Ovis aries: one gene and its partners. The protein of the gene in region 2 interacts with the protein of the main gene of each other region in a pairwise test. Links are inferred from orthologs where the notes say so. Each region holds a gene or a part of one and is shown on either strand. Other genes may lie near its edges.

Region 1 (7,383 bases), on a different chromosome or scaffold from region 2:
CTCGGTGTTCTGGTCGCTGCTGAAGAACGTGCCCTTTCTGGACCGCCTCGAACTGATCGGCTCCAACTTCTCGTCCGCCATGCCGCGCAATGAGCCTGCCATCCGCAACTCCCTGCCTCCCTGCAGCCGGGCGCAGAGCGTCGGGGACGCGGAGGTGGCTGCCATCGGCCAGCTGGCCTTCCTGAGGCACCTGACGCTGGCCCAGCTGCCCAGCATCCTGACGGGCTCGGGGCTGGTGAGCATCGGCCTGCAGTGCCAGCAGCTCCAGTCGCTCTCGCTGGCCCACCTGGGCTTGATGGGCAAGGTGGTCTACATGTCTGGCCTCTCGGACATGCTGAAGCACTGCAAGCGGCTGAAGGACCTCAGGTGAGGGGGCCCGGCCGCCCCTCCGCGGCCCCTGCGGGCCCTTCCGTGGCCTCCAGGGCACAGAGGGGGGTGTGGAGTGCAGCCTTGAGTTCGGCAAGCGTTTGCATTCCTGCCACGTGCCTGCTGAGACAGAGGGCACAGGCCTGAGAGTCTCGAGGGCTGGGGGCTTGACCAGGGTCTGACAGTGTGTAGTGGGGGGTCTGTAGGCATGGGCTGGAGCGACAGCGCTTGGTGGCATCCCGGCAGAGCACACAGGAGGCCGTGCTTCTGAGCCCAGGCTGGGACATCGCCCTCGTCGTTGGCTGTTTGAATGCCTGTGTCCCAGAGGCTCAGGCACTGGTCAGAGAGGGGCCCAAGAGGTGGGCAGACGGTGAGGGGAGTCTGAGCCCCTGCCTGTGCCCACAGAGCCTCACGGAGCAAGCTGTGGAGGCCAGATCCTTACTGGGCGGAAGGGTGAGGGACGACGGGCGGGGCGCCCACACACTCCGCCCCAGGGCACAATCAATCATGGCAAGTGCCCCTTCCTCCTCCTCTGCCCTGGTGCCTGGCTGCAGACACTGCTGGTCACATGCACTGAGCTTGGCTGGCCCTCCAGTGCTGGCCACCCGCAGGTGGAGTGGATGGGCCCCCCACGCCCACCACACCTGCTGTGAACACCTGTGACGGGCGTCTTTGGGGACCGACCTGGGGGTGGCGGGCACATTAAGGAAAGAGAAAAGCGTTGAGAAGTCCGTGTGGCCTGCGCACTGTCCTCTTTGCTGCTTGAGCAGCGAGATCCCCAGTAGGAAGCGGGGCCCCACGTCGCCACCTAGTGACCGCGGCGCCGCAGCGTGTCTGTCGCGGGCTGGCGGCATGGCCGTCCCACAGGCGGCCAGGGCTGGGCTGGGGGGTGACTGCAGCCCAGCAGTGCTGGGTCAGGGCTTGTCTCCCCTGCCCCAGGGGGCTTCCTTCCTGCCGGACCCGGAGAGAACGTGAGGTCTTTCAGAATCACGCGCAGAAGGAGCCCCGTTCCCCACCGTTTTAGGAGCTTAGGACTTCTACCTACATGTGATTAAAGCCCCCAGCTCCCTGCTGCGTTTCATTTCAGGGCCTGGTGGCTCCCGTTTGGGATGGCTCTGAACAGACATCCCATCACCTCAGACCTGGTTTTAAAATCCCTTCTCCATCCTGTGCCTTGTCTGTGTCCCTGGGCATCAGGAGGCTGAGTGCGGGCCCTCAGGCTCTCGTTTGGGGAGGGGGAAGACAGCCCCTTCCCCATGTCTGCCTCGCCCACGGCGTCGCTGCATTCAGAGCGCTCAGGCTCTCCTGACGCCTGGAGGCTTTCTGCTCCCAGCAGAGACCCACTGCCTCTGAGGGGAGCGGGCTCAGTGGTTCTTGCTGCTTGTCCTGGAAGCCTCTCCTTTGATGACGAGAGCCCCCGGCTGCAGACCAGCTTCTTGGGGGCTGCCCAGGAAGTCACTCTCAGTTTACTGGGCAAGACGGGCCTTTCGGGGTTCCCTTTGGGTCTCACATGTTGATGGAGGCCTTGCCAGCCTCCCAGGCTCACCGAGAGTGTCTGCGTCTGTCCCAGGTGTTACACCGCGTTTGTGCAGGGCCTGGGCCTTGGCGGTGGGGGCGGCTGGACCCAGAGGGCCCAGGGCTGTGTCACCCCGAGTGTGGCGGTGTTACACCACGTTTGTGCAGGGCGTGGTTTGTGCAGGGCCTGGGCCTTGGCGGTGGGGGCGGCTGGACCCAGAGGGCCCAGGGCTGTGTCACCCCGAGTGTGGCGGTGTTACACCACGTTTATGCAGGGCGTGGTTTGTGCAGTGCCTGGGCCTTGGCGGTGGGGGCGGCTGGACCCAGAGGGCTCAGGATTGTGTCACCCCAGGTGTGGCGGTGTCCCCACAGTGCAGGCATGGCCTGGCCGAGGGCTGTCCTGTGCCTTCCTCCCACCCTCGTGCTAACAGGGAGGGTGAGGGCCCACAACGGCCCGCACAAAGGCCATCAGAGGCCTGGGTGGCTGGTTGAGAGGGAGCCTTGGCTGGTGCCCACTCGCCGCCCTTTAAAATGTTCTCCTGGTCGGTCATAGGGGTCAGATGTAGCTCCCTGAGCTGCAGTTTCCTACAGATGTGCCCGAATCTCCATCACCCCGTGAAGTCCTCCTCCTCGCCTGCCGCAGCGCCTGTGCGCCCTCTGCCCACGCTGGGCGGACGTCTCTGGCCGGCCTCTCCCTCTTGTGTCGCCAGCCTTGAAGTGGCTCGGGCCAGGTGACCGTGGACTCCCCCAACAGTCAGTGAGCTGTCAAAGCTCAGGCGACAGCCACGCATGTCTGAGAAGTACCACTGGGGCCTGGTGCTGATCCCCAGGGATGACCCTCATTAACAGTTTTCCTTGTGGGAAGCTTTCAGGTGGACCGGATCCACGCTGACCCCTGTCTGTAAGGCCGTCTAGGTCTTCCTGTGTGATTTACCAGGAAACGATCTTAACTCTGCTTGTGCCCCAGCTCCCTGCCCCGGGCTTCTGTGCCAGTGTCCTGGGGCTGCCCTGACAAACGACCACCACCGGGGTCACCCAAGACAAAGGGTCATCCTCTCACAGTCAGGAGGCCGGAAGCCCCAGGTCAAGGTGGGTGGGAGCCTGTGCCAGGCCTGCCCTTCGGCCTCTGGCGACTGCGGGCGGTGTGAACATTCTTGGGGCCGTGGGCACGTCCCTGCAGTGCACCCCGGCTGCCACAGAGCACCTCCGTGTGCTGTCTCCTGGCCTCTGAGGGGCCGGCCATCGGACCAGCTCCTGCCCTAGTCCTGCGAGCCTCATCGTAAGTCATTTGTGTCTGCAAAGACCCTGCTTCCAAACAAGGGCCCTCTCCCCCACAGCCCACGCAGGTCCCGAGGGGTGGGGCTGCAGCGCATCTTCCGGGTGCCCGGTGCAGCTGGCCCCTATGCCCCTCCCCATCCTCCCGGCTCTCAGGCACTCTGAGAAGGCAGTGCAGCCCGCAGAGCGGGCCTGCTGGGCCTGTGGGCCCCCGGACAGGAGCCCCGCTCCACACACATCCATCGCCCGCCGTCTCACGCCACGTGTCCTGTCTCCCCGCAGGTTGGAGCAGCCCTACTTCAGCGCCAACGCCCAGTTCTTCCAGGCGCTGAGCCAGTGCTCCGCGCTGCAGCGCCTCTGCCTGGTGTCGCGCAGCGGGACGCTGCAGCCCGAGGCCGTGCTGGCCTTCATGGCGCGCTGCCTGCGCGTGGTGGTATGCCATCTGTTCACCGGCGAATCGCTCAGCACCTGCCGCAGCCTGCAGCAGGCCCTCCTCCGCAGGTGAGTGCGCGGGCCCTCACAGGCGGCAGGACCCTCCTCCTCGTCCTCCGGCTTCTCAGGAGTCCCCGGGGGACAGCTGAGAAGAGCCCGGAACCCACACGGTGCCACCGTCACCCTGCAGCCTTAGGCTCCGGGTGTTGTCTCCCCCTCAGGTCGTTTTTCTGCACGGGTTCGCTTCAGAGCCCCTGTCATGCCTGATGGGCCGTCTTCTGGAGAGCTCTGGGCCAGCTGGTTGCCTGGGGAGGCTGCTTCCAGCCCTGCCTCACACGAGGGTCTCTGCCCCCTTTCCTGGGAGCCTCCACCTCGAGCCGCAGAGGCCTGGCTCTGTCCCCGTGCTGTTTGCTGACTGGTGCTCATTCCCGCCCTCCCAACCCCGCTCCCCAGTGTGCAGTTTCCTAGAAGTGATGGGCGTGGCCAGGAGTGGCCTGGCTGCGTGCTCTCCTACATGGCCATCCCAAGCCTAAGCTCCCCTGTGGCTGGGAGAGCCCCTGGCCCACAGCCTCACCCATGTGAGATGCCGCCAGCCTCTCCCGGGGCTCCTGGGTGAGCGCGTCCTCGCACCGTGAGTCCACGTGGTGTTTCCGGGGAGCATCGTTTCCATGCCCGTTGCCGGGTCGCGGCTCCTCGGTGGTGGTCGATCCCCTCATTCCTGGTGGGCCCTACTGCGGGGCTCTTTCAGGGACGGGCAGTGCTTGGGGCCAGTGAGCCCACAGTGCAGCTGCCGTGCCATCGCCTGTTGTGGGCCCACCTCTCCGCTACTGGCTTTCCCTGCCATCCGTGTTCACTGTGGATTCAGGTTACGGCTGTGGGTCCAACAACCTCCCCTACTGACCCTCCTACGCCCTAAGCTTCCTCTTAAACCTGCCACTTGTCCTGGCCCCCGGTCCGAGAACGCAGGCAGCAAAGCCTTTTGGTTGGTGTATAAAACTCAGCTCCGTGGGCTTTGAATGACAGCTGCGGGGAATCTCTGGGGCACCTGCCAGACGTGAACCTGACCCCTGCGTGCGCAGAAAGTTCAGAGACTCCTGTAAATGCTGCTGCCGTGGGTGTTAACCTGGGCACCTGGCAGCTGCCTTTGGCCAAGTGAGTGTGTGCTGTCGGTCTAGCAGGAAACGGTGAACTTGGCTTCGCCTGCAATTTGTAGGGAAGCAGTTAAGCGATGTCGGCAGGGTCCACTCCGGTGGGACACTCCAGTTCCTGTGACCTCTCACCTATGTGCTCCGGAAGCTCTCTGTGGCACTCCAGAAGTTCTCCTGGTCCCTGGAGTCCTCTGCGAGGGCCAACTATGTCAGGTGCAGAGATCCTTCTGGGGTTTCTAAGCCTTCCAGCGCACACTGGAGAAGTCAGGGTTGGGGGTGGCATGTAAGTCTCAAGACAGGTTGACTGCAGTTGCCTCTGGTGGCTGTGTGCCTGCCAACCAGGCCTGGTGAAGCCCTTCCCGATGCTAAAGAGTTTTCTTTTTTCAGTAAGTGTGCTAAGTCGCTTGAGTCGTGTCCGACTGTGTGTGACCCTAGGGACTATAGCCTGCCAGGCTCCTCTGTCCATGGGGTTCTCTAGGCAAGAATACTGGAGTGGGTTCCATGCCTTCCTCCAGGGGATCTTTCCAACCCAGAGAAGATGGTATTTTTAAAAGATCTGTAAATACGCGTAACCTGAAGCTTACGGCTTTGACTGTTTCACGGTGTGTGGTTAGCGGGACTGAGCACACTTACAAAGGGAGCCACGTCCCGCTTTTGCTTCCGTGGGCTGTGCAGACGTCTTCTCAATCTCCAGCCTTCCATGTGTCTGCACTTCGTTCAGATTTAGAAGCAGCAGGTGTTTGAGGGGCTGTAGGCAAGGGTGGAGAGCTCTCAAGATTCTGCCTCCTTGTGGGTCTGTGTGTCCCCCTTGCCCATCCGGGCCTTTGCAGAAGGTGTGCAGTGTTCACACACCAGGCCGTGTCCTTCCCTAGCGGGTCCTGGAGTTTGACAACCGGTCCAGCAGGAACGTATATCAGCCCCCAGGACTGGAGTGTGGACCTGGAGCAGCCCTTCCCGGGGAGGGGCGTCTGCCCCGAGTGGGTCCCCAGGGGCATGAAGCGCTTAGGCCCCCTGGAGAGGGAACGTGGTGCCACGGCAGTGCCCCTGGTAGCCGTCGAGTGTGGCCCGGGGGTCCCAGCCCCCCCTCCCAGATCTCCATGTCCCGCGGATGGGGAAATGTGACGGAAGAGGCCAGGCTGGGCACAGAGTTATAGACGCTCCATCAGCCAGGAGGTCTCTGGAGTCATAGGGCTCAGGCCGCCCCACCACACGGTCCTTGTGGGGTTGCCGGTCCTTGCAGTTTGCTGTCGCCTTTCTCAGGAGAAATCCTAGCAAGAGTTTTCTCCTCCCTGATGTTCACGATCTTTCTAAAAACTTAGACTGTGGATCAAGCTGTTTTCAAGTGGAAGCTCCCCTTGAAAGTGGCCAGCAGTTCTAGGATGGAGTTGTTATGTGGCTTTGTGCTGATTTTGTTGAGTTAATGCTCCATCAGGGGAGTCTCTGTGTGTTGTTAAATCTGCACACATTCCCTTTTAATGCCGTCTGCCGTCCGTCCACAGGACGTTGTGGTGGCTCTGGCCTGGCCTTCACAGCTGACTCTGCACTCGTGACGCCCTCTTCTCTCAGCCTGCACCTGGGAGCCTGGAGAACAGCCGGGTGTTGTGGGGGGGCACTCCCCACTCACCATTGTGTCTCTGCCCTTGGTGTCCAGGCCTGAGGTCGACGTTGGCTGGGTAGACTTCCTGGCTGCAGGCTGGGGCCGTGGCGCGGACCCGCTGAGCGGCTGAGGTGCCCGGAGCCCTGTGCGTGCTGGGGCGTGGCCCCCCCCATGGGCTCCTCCTGCCATGTCCTGCCTCTGTGGTTCCCGCCGCCCCAGAGCCCTGTGAGTTGTGCGCCCCGAGCCCCAGCTCAAGTGGCGAGACCGAGGCTCTGAGAGGCGGTGGAGGTGTAGCGGGACCCGCGCTGGAAGGACGCATCTGTGTTCCCACAAGGCCTCTACTGCGGGGCATGGGGTCCCGGCTGCGCTTCTGCGAGGTGCCCAGCAGGTGGTGCCTTGGCTCAGGGTGATGGCGCCAGCTTCAGACATCACAGCAGGACACGTTCCACCCGGAATCATGACCAGGAGGGGCTTGTCGCCACCTTTTCTCGCGCGGTTCCCTGCCTCAAGCTCAGAGGATGACTGAAGCATCTGCCCGCTCACCTGCACGCCTCTGAGGCCCAGCGGTTACGATTCCAGGCTTTCCCTGGCACGGCTGGGGTTCCATCCCGCATCGGGGCACCGAGATCCCACAAACCACCCGGTGCAGCCAAAACAACAAAATAAGGCAAAACAACACAGAAGATCACGTACGGAGCGTGGCCTGCCGGCCCTGTCACTGGCAGAGACCTGAGTGTCCTGGGCTCCTGCCTGCACAGCCGAGGGGACGGGCCCCACACAGCCTTCACACCAGGCAGACAGCCGGGGGCGCGGGACAGAGAAGGGACCCAGCCGCCCCTGTGAGAAAGGCCGGAAGAGCCCTGCTTCTGGAAAGTGCGGGGCGGGCCGTGGTCCGCTCTGGTACAGGTGGTGGTGACCTCCTGGAGGGGGTGGCTGCAGAGTCTCATGTGGGCGCTGGTCACACGGGGCCACACGGCCCCTGGAGCACGTTGGTGCAACCCTTTCCACCCCTTCAGGCAAAGCCCACTCATGTTAGTGGAGGGAGGGGAC
Region 2 (7,383 bases):
ACGCCAGTGGGGATGGGGAGGGAAGGGGCTTCTCTATTCAGACTAACACTGGTGGTCTTTCCCTAAAATCAAGAGGTCTGGCTTTTCTAGATTTTCTTTTTAACCTTCAAGTCTGCAGAAGATCTCAGTGGTGGACCCTTCCTTTCTTTTATGCTTTACTTTACTCGTCTCTAAATTAACAGAGCAGTAGCTTTCCTTAGGGCTAATATGTTGCCAAGTTTTGAGAAATCTCGTGAATTCCAGAACATCTTTGCTCTTCCCAGGACAAAACAAGGTTCCCCTGGCGCCTACGACCGAAGTTTTCGGTGGAAGTATCACCAATTCCGTTTCCTCTGCCATGTGAGTTCTGGTACTGGGGCTCCCCCTGGAGATTGGGGTTACAGAGTCATTTCAGCAGTTTCCTAGCCTAGTTGCAGGTGTTGGAACACCTGTGTCTTAGGTGGGAGCAGGTCACTTGTCTCACTCTGAGCAGTTGTGTGACACTGTCTTCCATTCCTAGGGGACCAAGTTCTCCCCACCTAACCTGGGGGTGGAGGGTAGGGGAAGCTTATTCAACAGACAAGTGATCAGATTGAATAGTTACCACCAACGCCCCAATTTGAGGTCTCTGTTTTCCTTTTCTTTTCAGTCAAATGCTCTCCCCAGCCACGTGAAGATCAGTGTTTCCAGGCAGACACTTTTTGAGGATTCTTTCCAACAGGTTAGAGAATAATCACTGAGTCTAAGACCCAGGGCAGGGAGAAGGCCCGCTGCTACCACCCTGTCTTCTCTTGTGTGGCCCTTTAAGCCCACATGATACGGTTTTCAAGACGTGGGCCTTGGTTATGGGGAATCAGCCGAAGAGCAGGCCTGGGAGTCCCTGGTCGCCTGCCCCCAGCCTGCCATGGAAGGGAGAATGGCAGGCTGGCCATGACCTTCTGTCTCCCCAGATCATGAACATGAAACCCTACGACCTGCGCCGCCGGCTCTACATCATCATGCGTGGCGAGGAGGGCCTGGACTACGGGGGCATCGCCAGGTGAGCTGGGAGCCCCAAAAGGCCGTGCTGCTCCCTGCTTCACCAAGCTGCAGGGCACTCGGCCAGGAAGCTGCCTCCTTGCTCAGACAGTTGCCAAAGCTCTCCTTTACCTTCAGGAGTGGGCAGGGGTGTGGGTGGTCCAAAGGGGTGCTGGAACTGGTTCCTGGGGTCCCCTTCTGGGCTAGGCATCAACCCTCTAATTGCTGGGTCAAGGGGAAGCTGGGGGTTGGTTTCTAGGGGAGCGGTTCAGGATGATGGCTCTTTTAAAAATTTTTTTAATTTTGTATTGGGGTATAGTCAATTAACAAACTGTCGTGATAGTTTTAGGTGAACAGTAAAGGGACTCAGCCGTCCATGTACGTGTATCCATTTCCCCCCAAACGCCCACCTCCCATCCAGGCTGCCACATACCATTTGAACAGAGTTCCATGTGCTGTATAGTAGGCCCTTGTTGAGAACAATAGTTCTTTGCCAACCAACCTGTCATTATTTCTTTATTTTACCCATCTAGTTGCACCAGTGGGCAGTGGTTAGATATCGGTATTAAGTGGTTGTCCGTTGGAATCGACCCTGGACTTCACTTCCTCTTGAGGCAGCTGGGGTGGGCTCAGTTGGGGGTCTTGGTGTAGATCTGGCATATATACATTGTGTCCCAATCCAGAGGGTCTTGATAAATACTTGGCTGCATGTCATGTACACAGTGACGGTAAAATGAAAACAAATGGTATACTCCTAAAAAGAACTCAAAGCATTGTCTTGCCCTCACCCCAGTGCTGCTACAAAAGTTAATAGATTCTCTGGCAAAATGTTGCCTTGGATGATGGGGCATAAGGGCCCCGGCAGAGAGGAGGAGCGTCTTGGCTGTGGTGACCGCTCAGCCTGCCGACCTCTCTTGGTGTGGGACATCTTCTCGCTTGGTGTTGGGTTAACTTGCTCCCGGTCCTTTGTGTGCTGGTGGCGTTGCCCTCTGTGTTGGCCCCCGTGGGTCGATTGCTCTTTTTTTTCCGTGGTGACCGTGGTGACCTCCTCTCTAGGCTCTCCTTGGTGGTGTGGCTCCCGCCCCGTGTGTGTCTGTCTCTCTGTGTCCTGCCAGTGGTTTTACCCTATGGTAGGTTACGTCATGCTGTTCTACCACAGGGTAGAACCACGGACAGGATACCGGGGCACCCTCTGCATCGAAGAGATTCCTCGTCTGCCCGGCCACAAACAGCCCAGCAGCCAGGGACTGCCCCCCTTGGGACGTCCCCCTGCTTGTGTAGCTCAAGCCTCAAAGGACTCTGAATTCTGGCTTGAAGCTTGTACCTGGGGTGCAAAGAGATGCTAAGGTGTGGGCGTTGGTTCAGATGAGTTCGTGGACATACAGGGAAGGGTATGGTGGTGGGTCTGGGGTGAAGGGGTGGTGGGGTGGTGGGAGCGAGGTGTAGACACAGCCTGATGAACAGAATTGTCCCGCATCAAGGATTAGGAGCACATTACTGTGTATTCGTATTAGACTGCTTAGGTAGGCTGGAAGCAGGGTGACTGCTGCTCATAGAGCCCTTTTGCAAGATTTAGAAAAAAAGTGTCCTTTCTCAAGACACTTCTGTGCTGGAAAATGGTCACAATATACTGCTTTTATTAGGAAAAAAAAGGCAGCTTGATGCTATTTGCAGGAAATTTGTTGTGACAAATGTACACATCTGTCATATTTTAACGTCACACCCTTGTGCAGTGTGCAGTCTATACAACTGTGCATGGCAACCCAGAATGGCGGAGCCCCTTTGCCATTAGATGCTCTGGATATCAGGCGGAAAGCCCCAGAATACCACACCTGGAGCCAACACTCACACACACGGGTGTGCCTGAGCATTGCTGTCCAGGGCAGTTGCTGTTCTGATTCACCCTAGGTCTGGCCCTGCCCTGTTCACTGACCAGCTGCTCACAGAGGTTAGCCCAGGGCTGATCCCAGTGGGGCTGCCTCCTCAGGATGCATGTCTCCAGACTAGGTACTACTTGACGGCAGAAAAGACTCGGACCTGCAGAGCAGGTGAGCAGGGTGTGGTCCATTAGTCCTGTTTTCCTCTCTCTTCTCTCACAGAGAGTGGTTTTTCCTCCTGTCCCATGAGGTGCTCAACCCCATGTACTGTTTATTTGAATATGCCGGGAAGAACAACTACTGCCTGCAGATCAACCCTGCCTCCTCCATCAACCCTGACCACCTCACCTACTTCCGCTTTATCGGCCGATTCATCGCCATGGTAAGATTCATGGCTGTCGTCAGACCTCCAGGGAGTGTGGTCACAGACCTGTAGACCACCAGCAGCTCTGGAGACTGGGTGCCCACTCTCTGAGCCCCACCCTCATCCTTACAGAACGCCTCACTAAAGATGCAGAAAGCTAGTGAGAGTTCTGGAAATAGTCCAGAGCTCTCTCAGTGCCCACCCTAGGGCACTGAGGAGGTTTTCACGTTGATTTGTGTAGGACTTGTCAAGAGAAAGCCCAGGGTCCCCGGATTAAAGTCTTCACTTAACACTCAGTGCATGTGCTGTCAAGGGTGGGGGATGACGGGCCCGTCTCTGGGTGTTGCCATGAGCTGGGTGGCGGTGTCTGGGAGTGTCCCACTGAGACTTGGGCCTTCTGGAAGGGGATGGGGAATCTACACTAGCTGAGAACAGGGAGCAAGGTGATCGACTGGTGCAAGATGTTGGAGTCATCTGGCAGGAGGGAAGGGCAAGGAATGGGGAGTCGGGCGTTTGTATTTATGTAGAAACGGGAGCACAGTGTAAATTTGGAAAGGGCGTCACCTCGTGTGCATCCTGTTGAGTACCTCGTGAGCACTGAGACCCAGGATGGAGAAAGGGGAGCCCTTTGAAGGCCCGGTCCCTCTGCCACATTTGGTCGTTGAAGAGCTTTCACGGCTAATTTGCCTTTGCTTCTTCCCCTCACTTCCTGAGTGAGTGTCTGCCCTGCTCCCCTCTCAGGAGGACCCAGGAGCCCATGACTAAGTATATTCCTTCTCTTTGTCTGGAGGTTCTTGGCCAAGGTGCTAGGGCTCAGGAAGTGGGCACATTCTTCCCAGGTCTAGAGACCCGCCTGGCCCTGTGGCTGACAGGACAGACCAGTAAAACCCTAGACTATTACTCACTGCTGGCCCGCCAGCAGCAGCAGGGGTGTCTGCATTATTTTTGGCTGCCTCTGCTGCCCAGCTCGGAGCAGCAGTGAGTCAGGGCCGCCACCTGGGGCTGTGCTGAGCGAGTCTCCTCTGTGTGGGTGGAGGTAGACCTCTGCTAGAGCGAGGGGCTGGTGGGCATGCAGTGGGTCAGAGGTGGGTCCTTGTGGTCTGCAGGTGGGACCAAGAGGGCTGCAGACCTAGCCTTCAGGCTCCTGGGAGAGCTGGATGCTCAGGACCTCAGGGAGCAGTAGTTGGGCTCTGATATGGGGCATCTGAGGAAAACCAGACCTCTCTGCCATGTCTCTTCTGTCCCCAGGCTCTGTACCATGGAAAGTTCATTGATACAGGCTTCACACTTCCTTTCTACAAGCGGATGCTAAACAAGAGACCAACCCTGAAAGACCTGGAATCCATTGACCCCGAATTCTACAACTCTATTGTCTGGATCAAGTGGGTCCCCTCTGTTGCCGTTTGCTGGGAGAGGAGGGGTCTCTGGATGGGTAGTAGGCGGGTGGAGATGCCCAGCTTCTAGGTCCCCCTGTCCTGGGACGCTGTTCTGGGCTCCAGGCCACCTGTGAGTCCTCGTGTCCCACCGGCACTGAAAGTGAGTGACGGGGCAGGACGGAGGGAACCCTTCTAAGACAGACACCTTCCCTCTTGGTCTCTTGTGCTCCCAGAGAGAACAACCTGGAGGAGTGCGGCCTAGAGCTGTACTTCATCCAGGACATGGAGATCCTGGGCAAGGTGACGACCCACGAGCTGAAGGAAGGGGGCGAGAGCATCCGAGTGACAGAGGAGAACAAGGAAGAGTACATCATGTGAGTGGAAAGCGCTAGGGAGCCGGTGGGGCCTGGGAAGTGGGGGCAGAGACACAGCCGGCCGCAGAGAAAGAGGCTCACACCCTTATCCCAGGGCACCATCTTCAGCTAGGCCCCCTCGTGTGGCCCATGGGTCTCCAGGGATGGGAAGAACCTTCCGTTTTGCACTGACCCTAGACCACTGCCGTGGCAGTCATGTGCTGGCCAGAGCTGGGTAGCCAGAGCCCGAGGCCCTGTGTTCCAGCCCCCGGGTGCTCCTTGTTCCCAAGTTGCAGATTCATGACTGCAGGACAGAATTTCTTTGAAGAGGCATAAAAGTTCGACAACTCCTTCTTTGTTCTCCTAACTGAAAGGGCACCTGTGTTCTGTCTACTTAAACCCACTGTCACCTGTGGGATTGTACACGAACATGCCTGTTCACTTCAGGTCCCTTGGGCCAGTCTTTTAACCCCCGTTCATCTGAGCTTCAGTGAGCGGTGATGGGAGGAGCAGGAGGAAGAGATGTTGAAGATTCAGGTGTCTGTGGGTTACTGTGAGGTTTTAAAGGCTGTGCTCTGGGGCCGAAGTTGCCCAGGTATCCCGCCCCCCAGGTCGGCTCTCGGCTGCCTCCTTGCTGCCAGCAGAGGCCACCTCCCTGCAGACCCTGAGCTGCTCCAGAGGAGTGGGTCTCGGGCTCCGCCGACGGTCAGTCTTGGTTTCAGGCTGCTGACTGACTGGCGTTTCACCCGGGGCGTGGAAGAGCAGACCAAAGCCTTCCTGGACGGCTTCAACGAGGTGGCCCCCCTGGAGTGGTTGCGCTACTTTGACGAGAAAGAGCTGGAGGTGAGAGCTGAGTTTGTGGGGACCCTGAACCCCTGGGCCCTGGGGCCGCCCTGCCCTTTGATAGCCTCGCCGAGCACCCACAGCAACTCACCAGTAAAACCCAGGATGGCAGCAGCAGGCACATACGGTCAATTTGGGTCTTGCACCTGCCCTTACATGGGCTCTTGTTTGCAAGGCGTTATCATGCAAGACTTGGGCTACCCATACTGTTAAAACTGCCGGCAGAGGTGTGCGGAGTGCTTCCACCTGCCAGGGAGTAGACGGGGCCCTGTGTGCCATGGGGACAGCGCTGGTGCCGGGTGCCTGACACCCCCTCTCCTCCGTAGCTGATGCTGTGCGGCATGCAGGAGATAGACCTGAGCGACTGGCAGAAGCACACCATCTACCGGCACTACACCAAGAACAGCAAGCAGATCCAGTGGTTCTGGCAGGTGGGCCCTGCGTCTGTCCCCACAGAACGCACGGGGGCTCTGGGCGGGCGTGTTTGGGCGGTACCCCCAGGAGGCGAGACCAGATTGAACCCCAGGCTTTTGGATGCTTGTTGTGTCATCACCTTCCTCGTCTCTAACACTCTCCTCGCCTCCCCCAACTCCCAAAAGGAGACGAGAAACCCAGCCTTGGGACGATCGGAGCTGGGTTGCGGCCACTGCATTTGACAGGAGGTAGTGTTGGCAGTGGGCCAGCCTCAGATGCTGGTGTGCGGGCTGTGGGGGAGGGGGCCGTGAGCAGGGAGGAAAGTTCTTGTAGGTCACGTGGTCTCCTTCCAGCCGGACGGAAAGCGTGGGCTTGGCTCCAGAGAAACTGAAAGAGCCCCTTGTCCTGCATATAAGGAATCAGTTGCTTTGAATGTGCGGGTCTTGTCGTTATCATTGTGCAGTATAGCATACATAAATGAGCAGAGGTAGGCTTTCTGTTTAGGTGGAGTTCACATACCATAAAATTCGCCACATTAAGTGTTTGGAGTGGCTCTTACAATGGTTTCTGACAGTGTTGTACCCACCATCACCACTGTTGAATTCCAGTACATTTCATGTCCCTCAGAAAGAAATCTCACACCTATTAAAGCAGTCAATCTCATGCTTTTATGTTTTTAAAGATGCAACTTGGGGGACTTCCCTCGTGGTCCAGTGCTTGAGCGCCCACCTTATGGTGCAGGGGCCGCTGGTTCAACCCTGGGTATGGGAGCTAAGATCCCGCATGCTGCAGGGCAACTAAGCCTACCGGCCACAACTGGAGAGTCCGTGTGCCACAACGAAAGATCCTGCATGGGCAACCAAGACCCGATGTAGCTAAATACATACATATTTTAAAAAAAAAATGGAACTTGGCTGAGGAGGAGAATTTCTGGCCTGAAACCAAGAGATGTCACATAGACTGGTGGGAATGATGTATGCACACAGCCTCTTAGAGCGGCTTTGGGGTTTCCCAGGGAGTAACTGTCACCCACTCCCACAGACCACGCTGGGGCTCCATGTTCTCAGCCCCAAAGAGGGGCCCTGGCTCATTGCAGAGTTACAGGTCAGTGCAAAGTGCTGGGCCAAGTGGGCCCTGACTCTGCCTGGGCTTGTGGGGCT
Region 3 (7,383 bases), on a different chromosome or scaffold from region 2:
GACATTGTTCTCCCACCTACTCTAATGTGAAGAAAGATTCTTTTCATATCTCAGAGACTGATCTAGGCCTTCTGAGAATTCTCCTCACCAACTTCTGATGAGAGTATAGCTAAATACTGAAAAAAGAGCATGCGCTTGGAAGTCAGGGGGATGGGGCTTGATTCTGGCACTGTGTCTAGCTCCTCACTGTGTACTCATCGCGTGAAGTTGGGCAAGTCACAATCACAATCTTTGATCCTCAGTCTCCTCACCTATATAATGGGAATAGTAAGACTACCTCTTTTATAGGGTTGGGCTTCCGTGGTGGCTCAGCTGGTAAAGAATCCACCTGCAATGTAGGAAATATGGGTTCGATCCCTGGATTGGGAAGATCCCCTGGAGAAGGGAATGGCTACCCACTCCAGTATTCTGGCCTGGAGAATTCCCTGGACTGTATAGACCATGGGGTCGCAAAGAATCGGACACGACTGAATGAATTTCACTTTCAGGGATGGTTGTAAACATGAAATGAAATTGGACTTTATGTCATCTAAGGGCTTGACATAAGGCACTCAATAAATCAGCTTATATTTCAGGTACATCTCTTTGTGCTCCTTTTGTAAGGCTCTGTGGAATTTTGTGTGCGCATATATTTCCAAGGGGGAAGTAGTGTGATCTCCTGAATTGGGGCGCATAGAAACACCTGTGCTTTCTGCCTTCCCGAGAGATGAAGGGGATGACCTTGCCCTCACTCACAGAAAGCTGGATCGGCCCATGGGCAAGCCAGCAGTGTGTCATGGCCGGGCTGCCCACTCAGCCCCTTGACAAGTGCAGCAGTACCCCCTTCAGGCTCTGTTGTCCAGTTTGGAGACTCTGATGGTCTTTTTCCAACAGGCTTCACTGCAGACAGACCCTGCAAGTTCCAGGTGCTGAAAACTCGGAGAGCCTGCTTCTTGCTTCCCAGGCTGTAGCTGGGGGGAACTTAGGGTGAAGCAGAGAAGTTTCTGTATCCAGCTGCCCGGGCAGAGGAGAATGGGGTCTCCACAGCCTGAAGAATGAAGACACGACAGAATAAAGACTCAGTGAGTAGGAGCTAAAATGAAAGACACAGAAGGCCACGGTCAGGGAAGATTCTGGCCTGTCCCAGTGCCCTGCTCACCCCGGCCACCCTCCTCGACTCTTTCCTCCCTCCTTGCTTCCTCCCCAGACAGCCGAGCCTGGCTTTGAACCCCATCTTTCCACGACAGCCACTGGAGGGGAATAGAAAGAAGGCACAGGATGCGGTGAGGTGTGATGTAGAAAACCGCATCATCTGCTCACTTCCTTCTCCCTCAGATGTCAATGAGGAGTGGACGGAAGAAAGAGGCCCCCGGGCCCCGGGAAGAGCTGAGACCGAGGGGCCGGGCCTCCCCTGGCGGGGTCAGCACGTCCAGCAGCGATGGCAAAGCCGAGAAGTCTAGGCAGACGGCCAAGGTATTCTGTCCCCACGTCCTGCCACAGGATGCCCGGGCACTGGGGCTGATGGTGTATGTGTGTGTTGTGGGGAGCTTCCTGTCTGGCCGAGGGCACTGGTGGAAGTACAAGATAGGAATTTTCTTTCTTTCTAACAGAAAGCCCGAGTAGAGGAAGCCTCCACCCCAAAGGTCAGCAAGCAGGGCCGGAGTGAAGAGATCTCAGAGAGCGAAAGTGAGGAGACCAACGCACCAAAAAAGACCAAAACTGAGGTGGGAGACCCTTGTCGCCATCATGACCCATTTTCTTGACATTCTTTCACCCAAACTTTCTTTCACTCACAATTCTTACTTTAATTTTGTCTGCAATATGAGAGAAAAGTCTTACCTGAGTGCTTATGGAAGTGGCCTGTCTGGATGTCAGTCAGATCTTTAGGGCTCTGGCCAGAGTGTCAGGTGACCAGGCAGTGCCAAAGAGGAATGGGTAGAGCATGGGGGATTCTAGGCTCTCCCTTTCTAGGGCCTGGTTTTCAGGCAAGTTCTGAGGAGGAGATCCAGGGTGAGAAGTCTCAGTAGGAGGAACAAGTAAGTCATAAAGAGCACGCAGAAGCGGTCTTCTTAAGAACCAGTGGTTTCTGGGATGTTTAATTAGAAGGGTGGATGAGATGAGAGGATGGCAGATGGGCTGGTGGAAGATACGGATTTGGGTTCAGCTGTGGAATGGGAGGAGATGCTAGAGATGGATGCCTGAGGAAGGAACTGGGTGAATGCCTGCTAGGGAGCAGCAGAGAGACTGTGAGAGGGGAGGATCCCCAGAAGGCCAGGCGGTGGGCTTGAGCAAGAGTACTCTTCCCGTTGTGGTGCAGTTGTGTGCTGTCGATGGGAAATCGTTCTGTGCCAGCGAGGCCCCAAATCCAGGGGAGGCAGGAGAAGCAAAGGCCACCATGGCTCTCCCTCTTGTGCAGCAGGAGCTGGCCCGGCCCCAGTCTCCCTCCGATCTGGACAGTCTGGATGGGCGGAGCCTCAACGACGATGGCAGCAGCGACCCCAGGGACATCGACCAGGACAACCGGAGCACGTCTCCTAGCGTCTACAGCCCTGGAAGCGTGGAGAATGACTCCGACTCGTCTTCTGGCCTGTCTCAGGGCCCCGCCCGCCCCTATCACCCACCTCCACTCTTCCCTCCCTCCCCTCCACCGCCTGACGGCACCCCCCGACAGCCAGAGCCTGGCTTTGAACCCCACCCTTCTGTGACACCCACTGGATATCATGCTCCCATGGAGCCCCCCACATCTCGGATGTTCCAGACTCCTCCAGGGGCCCCTCCCCCTCATCCACAGCTCTACCCTGGGGGGTCTGGTGGGGGGGTTTTGTCTGGACCCTCACTGGGTCCCAAGGGGAGTGGGGCTGCCTCTTCAGTGGGGGCCCCTAGTGGGGGTAAGCAGCACCCCCCACCCACCACCCCCATTTCAATATCAAGCTCTGGGGCTGGTGGTGCTCCTTCAACGAAGCCGCCTAACACTCCAGTCGGTGGTGGAAACCTACCGTCTGCGCCACCACCAACTTCCTTCCCCCACGTGACACCAAACCTGCCTCCCCCACCTGCCCTTCGACCCCTTAACAATGCATCGGCCTCTCCTCCTGGCCTGGGGGCCCAGCCACTACCTGGGCATCTCCCCTCCCCTCATGCCATGGGGCAGAGCATGGGTGGACTTCCTCCTGGCCCGGAGAAGGGCCCCACTCTTGCTCCTTCACCCCATCCTCTGCCCCCTGCGTCCTCTTCAGCCCCTGCCCCCCCAATGAGGTATCCTTACTCATCCTCTGCTAGCAGCTCTGCAGCAGCCGCCTCTTCCAGTTCTTCTGCCTCTGCCTCCCAGTACCCCGCTTCCCAGGCACTGCCCAGTTATCCCCACTCCTTCCCTCCCCCGACCAGTCTCTCTGTCTCCAATCAGCCCCCCAAGTATACGCAGCCTTCTCTCCCATCCCAGGCTGTGTGGAGCCAGGGTCCCCCCCAACCTCCTCCCTATGGCCGCCTCTTAGCCAACAGCAGTGCCCACCCAGGTCCCTTCCCTCCTTCAGCTGGAGGCCAGTCCACAGCCCACCCATCAGCCCCAACACATCACCACCACCACCAGCAACAGCAACAGCAGCAGCAACCACCACCACATCATGGGGGCTCTGGGCCCCCTCCCCCTGGAGCATATCCTCACCCCCTGGAGAGCGGTGGTTCCCACCATGCACACCCCTATGCCATGTCTCCCTCCCTGGGGTCTCTGAGACCCTATCCACCAGGGCCAGCACACCTGCCCCCACCTCACAGCCAGGTGTCCTACAGCCAAGCAGGTCCCAATGGACCCCCAGCCTCCTCTTCTTCCAATTCCTCTTCCTCCTCTCAAGGGTCCTACCCAGGTTCACACCCCTCTCCTTCCCAGGGCCCCCCAGGGGCGCCCTACCCCTTTCCACCGGTGCCTCCGGTCACCACTTCCTCGGCCACACTTTCCACGGTCATTGCTACAGTGGCTTCCTCGCCAGCAGGCTACAAGACAGCCTCCCCACCTGGGCCCCTGCCGTATGGCAAGCGAGCCCCGTCCCCAGGGGCCTACAAGACAGCCACTCCACCTGGATACAAGCCGGGGTCGCCGCCCTCCTTCCGAACGGGGACCCCACCGGGCTACCGAGGCACCTCGCCACCCGCAGGCCCAGGGACCTTCAAGCCGGGGTCGCCCACCGTGGGGCCCGGGCCGCTGCCGCCTGCGGGGCCCTCCGGCCTGTCATCCCTGCCCGCACCGCCTGCGGCCGCCGCCTCTGGGCCGCCCCTGAGCGCCACGCAGATCAAACAGGAGCCGGCGGAGGAATATGAGACCCCCGAGAGCCCGGTGCCCCCGGCCCGCAGCCCCTCGCCCCCTCCCAAGGTGGTAGATGTGCCCAGCCACGCCAGCCAGTCGGCCAGGTGAGCGCCGGGGCTGGGGTTGGGGGTGGCGGGCGCGGGATGGGCCCTGCGTTCGAGTAATGCTTTTCAAAGTACTCCAGGCCCTGCTCTCGGCCGCCACTGGGGTTGCCGCTCGCAGGGGCTGAGCGCACGCTACCTCGGCGCCCGGCAGGTTCAACAAACACCTGGACCGCGGCTTTAACTCGTGCGCGCGCAGCGATCTGTACTTCGTGCCGCTGGAGGGCTCCAAGCTGGCCAAAAAACGGGCCGACCTGGTAGAGAAGGTGCGGCGCGAGGCCGAGCAGCGCGCGCGCGAAGAAAAGGAGCGCGAGCGCGAGCGGGAGCGCGAGAAGGAACGCGAGCGCGAGAAGGAGCGCGAGCTGGAACGCAGCGTGGTGAGTGCGTCACTGTGCGCGCCTCCCTCCTCGGGGCCGCCCTCTACGCGACTCAGGGAGGTTCGAGGGGGTGGGGCCATGCGCCACCTGTCGGACAGGAGGAGCCTTGGCAACCCAGGAAATGGAGACCAGAGGATTCCAGCGGCAGGAATTGCATCCTTGGGCTGAAGAAAGGTAAGCTCAGGTCAGAGTACCCATGGATCGTAGGAAGAGCATCTCTCCTCTGTAGAAGAGAAGGGGCAGGGAAATCCCTGGTAGGCCGAGTTACAGTAAGCTGAGGCTTTAGGCATTCAGGTGCTGAGACAAATTAGCAGCTGAGGACCGGGACCTGCCTTGTTGACCCCGCGTCTCCCTGTGTCCCACAGAAGTTGGCTCAGGAGGGCCGTGCTCCAGTGGAGTGCCCATCTCTCGGCCCAGTGCCCCATCGCCCTCCGTTTGAGCCGGGCAGTGCTGTGGCTACAGTGCCCCCTTACCTGGGCCCCGACACTCCAGCCCTACGCACCCTCAGCGAATACGCCCGGCCCCACGTGATGTCTCCTGGCAATCGCAACCATCCGTTCTACGTGCCCCTGGGGGCAGTGGACCCGGGGCTCCTGGGTTACAATGTCCCGGCCTTGTACAGCAGTGACCCAGCAGCCCGGGAGAGGGAGCGGGAAGCCCGTGAACGAGACCTGCGTGACCGCCTCAAGCCTGGCTTTGAGGTGAAGCCCAGCGAGCTGGAGCCCCTACATGGGGTCCCTGGGCCAGGCCTGGATCCCTTTCCGCGACACGGGGGCCTGGCTTTGCAGCCTGGCCCCCCGGGCTTGCACCCTTTCCCCTTCCATCCGAGCCTGGGGCCCCTGGAGAGAGAACGTCTAGCGCTGGCAGCTGGGCCCGCCCTGCGGCCTGACATGTCCTACGCGGAGCGCCTGGCGGCTGAGAGGCAGCACGCAGAAAGGGTGGCCGCCCTGGGCAATGACCCGCTGGCGCGGCTGCAGATGCTCAACGTGACCCCCCATCACCACCAGCACTCCCACATCCACTCTCACCTGCACCTCCACCAGCAGGATGCCATCCACGCAGGTGAGACTCCCTCGTCCTTGGCCAGGCCCTTTGAGATCACCTTGCATCCTAGAAGGTCATTGCGCACTTCTGTTGCTCAGGCCTGGACTTCCCACCCCACATCTGGCCTGAGCTGCTCTGTTGAGATTGCTGCCCAGGTCTTTGCCTCCCCAGCCTGTCTCCTCCTACCCCAGCCCTACTACAGAGACCCTGCCCCACACCCCAGCCCCATTCAGGTCTGGCGTCTCCCCCCACACCCCATGGTAGAAGCCAGAGGTGGGGACCTTTAAAGCAGTGTGACCTTCCTCCCCTCACAGCCTGTCCCTGAGCCCTTCTCATAACTATTTCCTTGCTCCTATGGGTTCAGCTTTATTGTTTCTTGCCATCTTCTCCATCCAGGCAGAGATGTTTCATGTTCCTCTCCGAATCTATAGATATGTGACCTTCTAGAAAGCCCTGTGGCTCAGGTTGTGGGATCACAAGTGACAATGAGCTTTACTCACAATGAGTCTTTCTACTATTTTTCTAATTGTCAGAACACTGCCCCCTCTAGCCTTCCAGTCACATTCATTCCAGGCTCCTTGTGCTCTCTAAGTTCTTCCCTGTCTCATTTCCTAAACTTCCTTTTCTCTTCCATCTCTTCTCGGTAGTCCACTCCCTATTCCTCAGGTCCCTCTGAGAACTGGAATCTCCTGTCCTCTGCCATCCGTCCATCTGTCCCTCCTGCAGTAGGGTCTTTCGCTGTCCATCTCCCAGACCCCTAGCCCCTCCATTGTGCCTTTTTTGATTCACTGGATCACCCTGTGTTTGATCGTCCACCTCTCTTCCCAGGCATGGAGCCCTTCACCCAAATGCATGGTTTTCCCCAAACCTGCCTTCTGGTGACACCTTCCTCTTCTCTACCCTCCAGCCTCTGCCTCGGTGCACCCTCTCATTGACCCCCTGGCCTCAGGGTCTCACCTTACCCGGATCCCCTACCCAGCTGGGACCCTCCCCAACCCCCTTCTTCCTCACCCTCTGCACGAGAACGAAGTTCTTCGTCACCAGCTCTTTGGTAAGGATGGAGGTTGGGGGTGGGGACGGTCTCTGGAGAGAAAGAATGGAGGAAGTTAGGTGCTGGAATTAGTCTTATTGGGCTTGGGGAGAGGAGAGATGAGGAGGTGGCGGGAGGAACTGGGAATGGAAGCTGGACGCCTGAGGTCCTGGCCGAGAGGCACAGATGTTAGGGTCAGGCTCAGAGGCCTGGATCCTAACCACCTTGGCAGCTTGCAGGACCAGCTGTCACCTAAGGTGATTAGTTGCGGTTCCTCTGTATGTACAGTGTCTGGCCACCTGAGTACCTCATCACTCATGTGGACCCTGCCCTTCCTGCCCACAGCTGCTCCATACCGGGACCTGCCAGCCTCCCTCTCTGCCCCGATGTCGGCAGCTCACCAGCTGCAGGCCATGCACGCACAGTCGGCTGAGTTGCAGCGCCTTGCGCTGGAGCAGCAGCAGTGGCTGCACGCCCATCACCCGCTGCACAGTGTGCCGCTGCCCGCCCAGGAGGACTACTACAGGTACCACAGGGTGCCTGGAACCCACCGGA

Evidence for each region.
Region 1: the proteins of WWP2 (region 2) and FBXL18 interact in a two-hybrid assay, tested with the Homo sapiens proteins (3 studies listed by BioGRID and IntAct). The link is inferred for Ovis aries from reciprocal best matches to the Homo sapiens genes WWP2 and FBXL18.
Region 3: the proteins of WWP2 (region 2) and ATN1 interact in a two-hybrid assay, tested with the Homo sapiens proteins (2 studies listed by BioGRID and IntAct). The link is inferred for Ovis aries from reciprocal best matches to the Homo sapiens genes WWP2 and ATN1.

Annotation. Positions count from the first base shown.
Region 1 is NC_056077.1:39,242,521-39,249,903, forward strand, and holds part of FBXL18 (F-box/LRR-repeat protein 18), read left to right. Parts: coding exon 1-366; intron 367-3,438; coding exon 3,439-3,657; intron 3,658-7,383. UniProt on the Homo sapiens protein: Substrate-recognition component of the SCF (SKP1-CUL1-F-box protein)-type E3 ubiquitin ligase complex.
Region 2 is NC_056067.1:36,514,380-36,521,762, forward strand, and holds part of WWP2 (NEDD4-like E3 ubiquitin-protein ligase WWP2), read left to right. Parts: intron 1-263; coding exon 264-339; intron 340-628; coding exon 629-700; intron 701-929; coding exon 930-1,018; intron 1,019-3,095; coding exon 3,096-3,255; intron 3,256-4,485; coding exon 4,486-4,619; intron 4,620-4,846; coding exon 4,847-4,987; intron 4,988-5,688; coding exon 5,689-5,809; intron 5,810-6,135; coding exon 6,136-6,240; intron 6,241-7,383. UniProt on the Homo sapiens protein: E3 ubiquitin-protein ligase which accepts ubiquitin from an E2 ubiquitin-conjugating enzyme in the form of a thioester and then directly transfers the ubiquitin to targeted substrates.
Region 3 is NC_056056.1:209,364,539-209,371,921, reverse strand, and holds part of ATN1 (atrophin-1), read left to right. Parts: intron 1-873; 5' UTR 874-1,034; coding exon 1,035-1,061; intron 1,062-1,314; coding exon 1,315-1,452; intron 1,453-1,589; coding exon 1,590-1,703; intron 1,704-2,395; coding exon 2,396-4,380; intron 4,381-4,531; coding exon 4,532-4,754; intron 4,755-5,119; coding exon 5,120-5,816; intron 5,817-6,705; coding exon 6,706-6,849; intron 6,850-7,173; coding exon 7,174-7,354; intron 7,355-7,383. UniProt on the Homo sapiens protein: Transcriptional corepressor. Recruits NR2E1 to repress transcription. Promotes vascular smooth cell (VSMC) migration and orientation. Corepressor of MTG8 transcriptional repression.